Linked DNA regions of Macaca mulatta. The protein of the gene in region 3 interacts with the protein of the main gene of each other region in a pairwise test. Links are inferred from orthologs where the notes say so. Each region holds a gene or a part of one and is shown on either strand. Other genes may lie near its edges.

Region 1 (3,750 bases), on a different chromosome or scaffold from region 3:
GTAGCGTTCATAACGTTAGATCAAAAAACTTAAACCACACAAAAATATTTAGAAATCTCAGCTCCCTATTTCTTATCAAAATACTAAAGAACTTTAGATGTCTTCTTTAAACGTACTAAAGATACAAAAGTAAATTCCTTTTGACTTCAGAGGGCCGAAATGAAGAATTCGGTAACTGCAAGCAAAAAGTATGAGGGGAGAAAATTACTTGAGAAAATATTTCGTGAGACAAACACCATTTAAATAAAAAAAAAAAAAAAAAAAGACGTATTAAAATCATTTACTCCCTTCTACCAGACAAACAGTCCTCTCCTAGAACTCAACTGCTTACAATTCAGCCAAGTATGATTGCCAAGAGTTTCTAAACCTGTGTTAGGATTGTTCAAAGTGGAAAGCTTCTCCACCAGTGTATTACAACAACAAAAAGTATATTTTTTAGAGTTAAAGATCAACTATTAAATACACTCCTCTGATAAACTAAATGTAAGCGATTTAAAAAAAAAAAACTCAAGTTGTAACTTAGGACAAAGTTTGCTATATAAATTGCTTGCAGTTCTAAGAGTATTTATTTGGTCCCCCAAATTGGGGCTTAAGTGGCTGAAAGAAAAAAGTTTTATAGACAGGTTTTCTAACCTTAGTTTACATTTGGTAAAACAGACCATTTATCACAATCAAGTGAACATAATGCCAAATGTTAAGATTCCAAATTTTACAGGTAAAATGTGTAAAAATTACAATAACCCACTAATGGACTGCCACATGAGACTGTCACTGATGTTCAACATTTTTACATATATCTTAAGAATGCAATGTCATATATGTCATGTTCAAACTTGGGATGTATGTATTTGCACTATGTAATCCTGGTTGCTTTTCTGGTAATTCTTTATCTCACAGTGGTCTGATTATAGCCAGGGCTGCTTCTTCCCATTATACCATTAGTCAGTATATCTTAATTTTGCTTTCACCAAAACATGGACATCATAAGCCACCTCTTGCTTCTAGTTTTCTGCTTTTTACTGTAGATAACAATGACAGTGAGTTCTACCAAATGCATGTATGTGCACAGCTTTGTCATTCTTTTCCCAGCCCCCTTCTTTTCTATGAGAAAAATACGAGAAACAGGTTTATATAAAAACATCGATTTTTCTTTTGCATACATACCTAATGGATTTTCAAGAGAAGACAATTTATTCAGATAACTATCATCCTAGAAATGTCAAGAGAACTTCCCAAATCCAAAAATAAGAAGTAAATCTGATAATAACTGGAAAGGAAATTTCCACTCAAATCATAAATAAAATGTCATCAATTAAGCTGAACATCAATAAAACTCAGTCAAAAATCAAGTCTCAATACAGAACCCACATATAACCCACATATAATCAAAATATCACTTATATTTGCTAGCGGAGTTCACAGATGAATTCTGTATGTGCGCCAAATTTATCTTATTTTGAATTGCTGGGGTTAATATTAGTATAAATCAGAGCCCACACGAAGTGTCCTGGGCAGAGACAATCCAAAGAACGCTTAGTAGCATGGTAAAAACCGGTCCAAAATGAAAAAAAAAGAAAAGAAAAAAGCCACGTCCTAACACAACAGAGCGAATAAGCGACAAATAGATCACTGAAAGCAAAACGAAAACGGTCCCCTCCGGAGTAGACTGAATAAAAGATCTTTACTCATAACGTTTAATACTATCCGACCTCACTTCATTCACTTCCCAACTTCCTTTACTTTTCAAGGGCCACCACGGGGCATCCCTTTTTCTGGAAGTGTATATGGAAAGGATCTGTACAGGAAAGAGGGAAGGAACGGACAATTCTCAAGAAGGCTAAGAAACAGGTGGGTTAGCAGGAGCAGAAGCATAATCTAGACACTTAAGGGGCAGCTTTAAGATGACAGATGTGGTGGAAGGAAAGACTGCAAATCGGAAGAAGCCCTAGTGTGGCAGATACACTGTGGGCTGAATGCAAGCACCAAAGGGGGGCAAAGGCTAACTCCAGAGTGGTAGCAGTGGAGCAAAAAACAAGCAGCAGGACGGGTGGGCAATGAGCAGTGGGATTAACGAGCAGCAGCAGCAACACGGGTCAGAGTGGAAGTGATGGCTTTGGTCTTGGGAGACGGGGGCCAGTGGGAAAGGACGTCAGACAGGGAATAGGGGGTTGGGGAAACAAGGAGGACTGAGACCTAAGAATCCTGCCCCTATGAAAATGCAGGGGGCAAAGCTGGAGACCAAAAGCCGCCTCGGCTCCCCAGTTAAAGAAATTCTCGAAGGAGAGTCGCTGCTTGCCGCCGCGCTGCCTTCTGACCCGCTCGCTTTTCCTGATAACTGCTGTGGCGTAAAGAGGAGAGGGAGGAAGAGGAGGAGGAGGAAGAAGACCAAGGAGGAGGAGGGTGAAGATGAGGCGGGGGGTGGGGAGAAAGGGGGGTGCGGCCTGTACAGTCCCAGCGAAGCCTCCGCTCTCTCGTAGCCGGTCAGCCCCGGGTTTCCCCTAAGCCCAGCCCCGCATAGACTCACCCGCCTGCCTTGCCTCGCTTTTCCCTCAGCCGACTCCACGCGCTGCCGCGTCCTCACAAGAAACCACCGAACGAGCGTCGGGGAAAAAACTCTTCAGAACCGGGCCTGATTGCTTCAGTGAGTCCGACCTTTACGGCTGAGAGAGAGACTCTCAGCTTTCGGTGGGTTCCACAGCCAGACGGGCCACCATCTTACATTAGGGTAAGACTCCTCCGGCCTCCCGTGCGCAGGCGCACGCCGATCCGGCCAGGAGGGGCGGGGGAGGGGCGGGAGGAGCGGCGGGCGGCTGAGTGGGAGGTTGCGGTGGCCGCTCCCGCAGCACCCTGGGAGTTGGAGTCCTCGGAGGGTAACCGCCCAGGGGCACGCCGGGAGTTGAAGTCCTCTCTCAGAGGGCGGAGGAGATCGCCCACCTCACGTGGCTGCTGGACTGAGCCTTTCTTCGTGTTTTGCTTCCTTCTCTGCGCGCGTGTGCTACTTCAATGTCATTTGGTCGGCGGTTTTCACTAGTCATTCTGTGTCCTCGGTGTTTTTGGAAATGTGCGACCCCAAGACTGGGGCGAGGCTAGACAATTTTTCTGGGAGCCCGGAATGTTTCTTCTCTGCCCCGCCCACCAGGGATATCTAAAGGGGGCGGGGTGGAGGTGGAGGCAGGTTGGGGTACGAAGAGCGCGGGATTTGATCTAGGGTAAGAATTTGATACAGACTTGGCGTCTGTTTGCGAAACAAGGAGGAAACAGACGCCCGTTTAATTCATTTCCCTGTCCTTGCGCATTTGGGGGCCACCACCCTTGATACCTTCTTCACTGTAAAATCGCCGGTGAAGAAATATACTAAATTGTTCTGTGCAGATTACCCAAGAGAACGGAAGACCCGTGCACTTACAATAACGTGCTTCGGTTGATGTGAATTTGAGAATTTGCAGACCTCTGTGCGAATTAGTGTTAGTTCGCTGTCCTGCCAGCACAGCTGTGTGCAAGTTGACAAACTCTACACACATCGGCACATCCCCAAGAACAATGAATGCAGCCACAATCTCTACGAGCACTGAAGAATCATCAGTCACAAACGTCAGTCAATGTACTGGTCGCTCCCGTTTGCATCCCAGAACTCTGGTGAAAGCGGCGCTCGAAGCAGTAATTTTTGCTTATTGCATGTATTCTTCACCCACTCATACAGCAAATACTCAATGAGCTCCTCCTGGCCGCCGGGTACTCTTCTATATATTG
Region 2 (3,750 bases), on a different chromosome or scaffold from region 3:
CTTCAATCTCACACTAATCACCAATTCTCAGAAACTGCCTTTTATATTCTTCAATGTGGACTACAGCAACTTCAACTGGTAGGTTAGTTGTGATCAAATCACTTTAAGGACACCAGTAGAGTTCCTTTACTCAAAAGCAAATGACTTTTTAAAATGGCCCAATTTTAAGAGGGATGCATATTTTTAAGCAGCAAAAATTACTTTAAAACAAGGTAGCTAATTAAAAGTCAAGCATCATTCCATATTGAATGTGCAAAGCGTTACTAAAAGATGGGAAAAATTAAACATGACATTCTTATTTTTAATTTATGCTGGCGTATATGCTGATAGTACAGAACATTAGAAGAGATAAATTTACTCATTTACTAGGAAGCATGGAGCTCAACTGTTTGTCCCTTGCTCTGAACGGAATGCATTTACTACGTATTCCACTTTACTAAGTCTCCACTCAAAGTTCCTACGTTTACAAACACATGAGTAAAAGAGGCACAAAAATGTAGGGGATGCTGTTTTCGCTGCTAATCTGTGCTCAGCTGCGAATTCTTCTAATATCAGATGCATAATGCGATGAAATGGGAATGCTTATCTTCTATACTTCTATTTATTTTCATAAATCGGGGAGGGGAGGTGGTCTTGATTCATTTACTATTAGCGTTTTGCAATAAAGTAGATCAGCATAAAACACAACTGAAGAAGAATTCACTTTTCCCAGGACAATGCACCCTTCCTCCTGTTTCTATAGTAAAGCCATCTTTTGCTATTAAAAATGCCCATTTTTCACAACTGACTTTTCCTTAACTCTAGTCAACACTGCTCTTCAAAAGAACCTAGTAGGCTGATTTGCAAAATTTTTACTTCCTTAGGAAATTTTTCCATTTTCTAAATGTTTTCCAAATTAAGCAGGACTCACATTAACTGTGACCTTAAGTAGCGGTTTAGTGAGGTTTAAAAACAAACTTTTCATTAACGCATTCATACAACTAGAGTGACATAGTAAGTGGGACTGACACAGATTTAAGGATTATAGCTTTATATTAAAAGTCAGTCCAAAGATGGTAACTCAGCGTTCATTCGAGACCCTTTGACTTTTGGCCTTTAAAAACTGTTCCCCACTGAGTCCCCAGATAGAACTACATTTAGCAACGGGTCTCCTCCTGACTTCCTGGTACTAAAAGCCACAACCACAAGGGCTGTTTCGTCTGTTTGTTGTAAAACAACATTTGCTCCAGTCATCTCTATGGAAAACAGACTTTCTCTACCGGGGAGCCGCTGAGGTGAGGGTGCTCACGATGTTTAAAAACCAAACCACGCGTCTACGCGATAGCGGCACCGCAGGAGTTAAGTGCCGGGGGTTTCTTCCCAGGATAGAGACCTGCCCGGCCGAAGGAGAAAAGGAGAAGGGTAAAAATAGCCGGCGGCCACGACCCACGTGCAGCCGCGGGAGGACCGAGCGCGGGCGCGCGGAGAGGGGTCCGTACCTCCAAACATGTGCGGCGAGAGGTGAGCTGGTAAGGAGCCGATCACCAGGCGCGGCCCGCCGGGGCTCCCGCCCACCGGCCGGTCCCGGCCGCCGCCGCCGCCGTCTTCAGGGCTGCTGTGCACCGAGTCCTGCGAGCCGTAAGGGCCGCTGCTGCTGTTCGGGATGCTGAAGGAGGACTGCGCCGCGCGGGCCCCCGACGCCACGCTCCCCACGGCCCCGCCGAGGGAGCGGCTGCGCGGGGCTGCTGGGGCCGCCGCGGCCGCCGCGGCGCCGCCTGAGGCGCTGGGCTGGTGAGCGCTGGGCACCTGAGCCGGGAACCTCCCAGCCGCGGCAGCCCGAGCGCCCCCGCCGCCGCCCGCGGTCCCATTGGCCCCTCCACTGCTACTGGAAGGTAGATCCGAGCCCGAGTAAGCGCGCGTGCGGCCGTTAGCGGCGGCCGGGCCGCTCTGCTTGGCGCCCATGTCCGCCCTGCCCTGGGCCGGGCCCGCGCGCTGCGCCCCGAGAGCCGGGAGGGCGGGAGAGAGCGCAGGAGCTAGAGGGCAGGGCCGAGGCGCCGCGGCCGGCCCAGAGAGGCCCCCGCACGTCCAGGGCCGCCGCCCGGCGCCCCGAGGGGCAGTCGGCGCCCGGCGCGCTCTTCTCGGGGCAGTGGGTGAGGCCGGCGGCCTGACGCGGGCGCAGGAGACGAAGAGACGCGGAGAGGAAGAGGTCCCGGCGGCTGGCACCCCTCGCTGGCTCCAGCAGGAACGGGCGGCTCAGGTGGCCGTGCGGCTGCCGCTGGTTTCGGTTCTGGTGCGCCACGACGGGCTGCTGCCGCTCTCTGCCGCCGCGCTCGGCGCCCCGGGCCTCGGCACCGCCTCCTCTCGGGCGGCCGCTGCTACCGCCGCCATCCTCCGGCTCCCACGGCGGCTGGCGGCTGAGTGGGAGGTGCCGGCCCAGACTCCGCCGGGGCCACCTTCCCTCCTCCCCCAGCCACCCAGCTGTTATTAACGGAGAAAGAGGAAAAACGGGTGGCGCGCGAGGGGAGGACGAAGAATGGGAGGGAGGGGTGGCGCGCGCTTCCCGGCAACCGTCTCCTCGCTCCCCCTGCGAAGGAGGGGCCGGACTGGCGGGAGGATCTGGGCCGCGAAGGTGGGGGTGCCCGAGACGGGAGGAGGTGCCCTAGCCCTCGCGCCGGAAGACCGCGGAGCGGCGCGGCGGCAGGGTGCGCCCAGCCCGTGTGTTTGGGTCGCGCGCGGTGACCCCGCCCCCGCCCCCTCGCGCCGCCGGGCCGATTGGCTCCTGCCGGCCTTGCTCCGCCTCCCCTGGCCGCGACCTGCCCGCCCCTGCTCCGCCTCTCCAAGGTACTGCGGTGTGGTAGGTGCTGCCACCCGTGGACTCGGTGATGGACAGGTGTCTGGCCCCGCCCCGCCAGCCAGGGCGAGCCCGTGTCTTCCTCGCGGGGCCTACGCTGATAGGAGGGACGGACACCCGGCGCCAACCAGAAGGCGGCCCCTCCTCCCGCATGTGGCCCGCCGACGCTGGAGGAGCCTGTGTCAGCTGCAGCTTTTCCTGGCAGGGGGCGTGAATGGCTGTGTCCTGTGCCCAGAGCCATTTGGTTTCGGTGGGTGTTGGTGTTACACACTGATTTAAAAAACAGAATCTCAAAAGCCAGCTTGATCTGAATTAGACTCACTCGTGAAACACCAACCTGGGAGGAAGCGCAGAGTTGGAAGAACTCGGGATAATCCAACTTGACCTTCCGTGGTAGGGCAAAAACCGTCGTGCCAGGAATGCTGCACCTGACTCACAAAACCTAAGATCTAGGCCCAACACCAAACTAAATTATGTGTAGTGAGCAAATTATTTTACTTTTTTGGACTTCAGGTTTGTTTTTGTTTTTGTTTTTGAGACCGAGTCTCGCTCAGTCACCCAGGCTGGAGTGCAGTGGTGCGATCTCGGCTCACTGCAACCTCCTCCCGGGTTCGAGCAATTCTCCTGCCTCCTCCTCCAGAATAGCTGGGATTACAGGCGCGTGCCACCACACCTGGCTAATTTTGTATTTTTAGTAGAGACAGGGTTTCACCATGTTGGCCAGACTGGTCTCGAACTCCTGTCCTCAAGTGATCCACCCGCCTCGGTCTCCCAAAGTGCTGGGATTACAGGTGTGAGCTACCGCACCTGGCCGACTTTTTGTGTTAAATCCTAGGGCACCTGCATCTTTAAGATCCTATAACTTCTCTAAAATTGAATGTAATAAAATTCTCTTCAGTGCATTCCTCGGTGTTGGTGTG
Region 3 (3,405 bases):
GGACAAATGCTTTCATAATGATTTTTAAATAAGTACCTTCCAGTTTGTTTCCTGCTAATGCAACTTAGTCTATATTAGTACAGACAGAGTTACCAATTCTTTTTAAATTCTGTAATGAAAGACACACAGAAACAGCACTGCTGGGTCATGCCATGTGTATACTTAGGTACTGCCAAAATGCCCCCTACGGCAGTGTACCAGTTTATCCCTGACAGAACCCATTTCCCATGTACTTGCTACTACAGCATCTGCAAGTCAGAAAACGCTTTAAAAAAAAATGCAGTAGGGTTCGTCTTTGAAGCCTAAATGGGGTAGATTATTTAACCTTGTCTAGGATACCTCAACATCTACAGCTGTGTAAAGTACAGATCCTAATATGGGTAAATAATACCTACTAAATATGCATTATTTTTAGCTTGTTTTAGAAGCAGATACCTATCGATTTCAGAAGAATCTGCAAACAGCAACCAAAAGGCAAAATAAAAGTAAATGAACACAGCAGTATTAGGCGGTTTTTAATATTGTTTATTAGCACAGTAACAAATGCAGACTTAAGTAGTCCACAACATATAACCAATCCACTGAGCAACTCCTATTCCACGCCTTACAGTTAACAGCTTAAGGTATTTCACTACAGGTTTTCACAAGTCCTGATTTAAACCTTTTTTAAACAAAGTAGATTGGCATATAAAATAAAACACATTACTCATCTCCTATATGGTGTCTTACAGCCACGTGTCCATTTTATATATATGAGATGACAGTCTCTAAAAACTCTGTTAAATATCAATGTTCCCTTCCAAGAAGGGAAAACAAATTCCAATTTTGTTTTAAACAAAAAGTATGTAGTCTTAGAGGGACTTTACATAAATGGCCATATGTGTAACCTGTACAAAATTAAGCTGTTTTAAATTTACAGACTACAAGCAACTGAACCCAAATGTCTAAATGTACATTCTTTTCTGTACTACATTTCAGCTAATATTGCAGAACTAATGACAATTTTAAAAGTTGCTATTACCAATTCTGTCTACTGTAGCAAGATACCTTAAGTTACAACAAAATCTTAGGAAATAAGACTGAATAATATCTGTTATAGAAATACCCTACTCTTTACCAACTCCCACCCTCCCTGACCCCTTCAGAATCATAAGCAGCTCTCTTCTGTGACAAATAATGTAAGAATTGTGAAAACCCAGTTTATGTAGCGTATCTCTTGGTCCACTGTCTGGCCATTCTGTCATGTTCTGCTCTGTTGGTCATATACTGAGTGGCAATACTTCCCACCAAGGGGTCGGCTGGAAGAAAAGAATGTAGATTACTTTGGAGAAAGGAAAAGAACATTTTAAACTTTAGCAAATACATTAGTGACAGCTTGGGCAGACATGTACAACCAAGTATGTGTGATCAAACCCATCTTCGAAACACCACTCCACTATGCCGGATATTTTTCCATCAAAAATTTAAAAATCGTAACATGGGAGGAAGAGGGAATGCTCAGGCTTTAGTTTACTGGTCTGTCTGTATCTTAGTTCATTCCATTTTTCTCCCAATAAACAACACCCGATTGGAGTTTCTTTACTCTTATGTGTTAGGCTGAGTTCAGTGGAGACTGGAACGGTCAAGGCTCCAGACTACAATGAACATCCAACTGTGTTGATGTGACCCTTAGCTCAGTGTCACCAGTTATGGCATTGTGAATACTGTGAAGTCTTCGGGGCTGTTGCAATGCAACACTATTTACCTTTACACTGGTTAAAGAGCCAGGTTGCCAGGCAAAACCTGGACCTCCAATTAAGTATAGTATTTCTCTGAATCTTAGGATCTTTAATAACTAAATTTATATTTGGTTTACCTAGAAAATAAAATAAATAATATATGTGTGTATAGACACACATATATATATTTATATATATATACACACATTTTTTTTTTTTTTTTTTTGAGACAGGGTCTCACTTTGCCACCCAGGCTGGAGTTCTGTGCAGCGGCATGCTCATGGCTCACTGCAGCCTTGACCTTCTGGGTTCAAACAATCCTGCCACCTCAGCCACCCTAGTAGCTGGGACTACAGAAAAATATTTTTTAAATGAAATGAAGTCCCAAAAAAGTCACAATTCAATAGTCACTAAGTATTTAACAAATACCATTTTCAAAACTGAGTGCCATCTCAGTGACCAGCTATGGGCACATGCCCACTGAACCCCACAGGCAAGGTGAGGCTTGCCAGGCAGATGACTTGGCATTTAGAAGTGTATGATTTGTTTTATAAGAACTATATGGGAAATTAAGCAACAGGAAAAAAAAATAGAGGGAAGAATAACTGAAACTGTAAAAGCCCAAGGCAAACTTCGTCTTCAGTTTAAAATACCTTGTTGCTAGAATATACTGATTAATGAAGTTGTATGTCTCAACTAGTAGACTGAACTTCTCGATTAAAACTTTCTTTGAAAAGCAGATTAGTTTTTATATTCATAAAGTTTTGCAGAAAAATTAGTTTTGTCCTTTGAAAGCTTTTGGAAACAAGTACTTTTCAGGTGAGGAAGAATAAAACAAGGTAAAGAATTATTAACCTTACCAGGATTACAGTCTGTAAGAAGTGAGCAGATAGAAAGGAGGACTTTAGAAATGGTTAGTGCTGGACTCCAATTATCTTTCAATATGTCCAAGCAAATAACACCTTGACTGTTAATATTACAATGATAGATTCTTGTCCGAAATGTAACCTAAGGAAAACAAGGAAGTGTCAAACAATAGTTAAAAAGCAAACAAACTTTTTACTAAATACTCAACTGAATGACCCTAATTAGAAAGAAAGAAAAAAAAACTCCCAGATAGGTAGTTTTTAAAAAGGTGAATAAAAGCAGTTTTAATTAAAGCTGTCAAGAAGATAGACTTGTTTAATAAATTTGATTAGAAAGTGTTCACTGACCATCTCAGGGACTGTGTCAATTTCATTTAAAATGTTATGTCCCCTGATGGTAAGTTCAGTACTTCCTAATTTTATCTTTAGCAATTTTAAATCTTTTAAATATTAACATTTCCAAGTCTGAATAGGTAATTGTTTGCTGACCTCTTGTGCTAGCTGGTAGTACTACACTGCCTCAAAGTAAGCTTTAAAATACTTAAAAGCTTTAAAATATTTAAAATCGTAAGTCTCTCTTAAAAACTGAAGTGCAACATAATAGGTACCTAAAGATAATTAAACAACATACTTAGCAAACAATGACTACACCCAAAAAGCTGAACAAAATTTGAAGTCTACTTCTGCTTTTTTCTGACCTTTACATCAGGTCCCACAGACATCCTGTCTACCTAAATCACAGAATTTACTATCTATGTAATCGACTGTCCATGGATGCAGAGCCAGTAATGGGCAAGGACCACAGCAGAACACAAGCCACA

The links.
Region 1: the proteins of UBE2E1 (region 3) and CNOT4 interact in a two-hybrid assay, tested with the Homo sapiens proteins (2 studies listed by BioGRID). The link is inferred for Macaca mulatta from reciprocal best matches to the Homo sapiens genes UBE2E1 and CNOT4.
Region 2: the proteins of UBE2E1 (region 3) and ZNRF2 interact in a two-hybrid assay, tested with the Homo sapiens proteins (2 studies listed by BioGRID). The link is inferred for Macaca mulatta from reciprocal best matches to the Homo sapiens genes UBE2E1 and ZNRF2.

What each region holds. Positions count from the first base shown.
Region 1 is NC_133408.1:175,336,127-175,339,876, forward strand, and holds the start of CNOT4 (CCR4-NOT transcription complex subunit 4), read right to left. Parts: upstream 2,739-3,750; 5' UTR 2,525-2,738; intron 1,796-2,524; 5' UTR 1,710-1,795; intron 1-1,709. UniProt on the Homo sapiens protein: Has E3 ubiquitin ligase activity, promoting ubiquitination and degradation of target proteins. Involved in activation of the JAK/STAT pathway. Catalyzes ubiquitination of methylated RBM15.
Region 2 is NC_133408.1:98,073,553-98,077,302, forward strand, and holds the start of ZNRF2 (E3 ubiquitin-protein ligase ZNRF2), read right to left. Parts: upstream 2,717-3,750; 5' UTR 1,942-2,716; coding exon 1,479-1,941; intron 1-1,478. UniProt on the Homo sapiens protein: E3 ubiquitin-protein ligase that plays a role in the establishment and maintenance of neuronal transmission and plasticity. Ubiquitinates the Na(+)/K(+) ATPase alpha-1 subunit/ATP1A1 and thereby influences its endocytosis and/or degradation.
Region 3 is NC_133407.1:24,593,376-24,596,780, forward strand, and holds the end of UBE2E1 (ubiquitin-conjugating enzyme E2 E1), read right to left. Parts: intron 2,727-3,405; coding exon 2,579-2,726; coding exon of another isoform or gene 2,460-2,578; exon of another isoform or gene 1,932-2,459; intron 1,299-1,931; coding exon 1,201-1,298; 3' UTR 505-1,200; downstream 1-504. UniProt on the Homo sapiens protein: Accepts ubiquitin from the E1 complex and catalyzes its covalent attachment to other proteins. Catalyzes the covalent attachment of ISG15 to other proteins. Mediates the selective degradation of short-lived and abnormal proteins.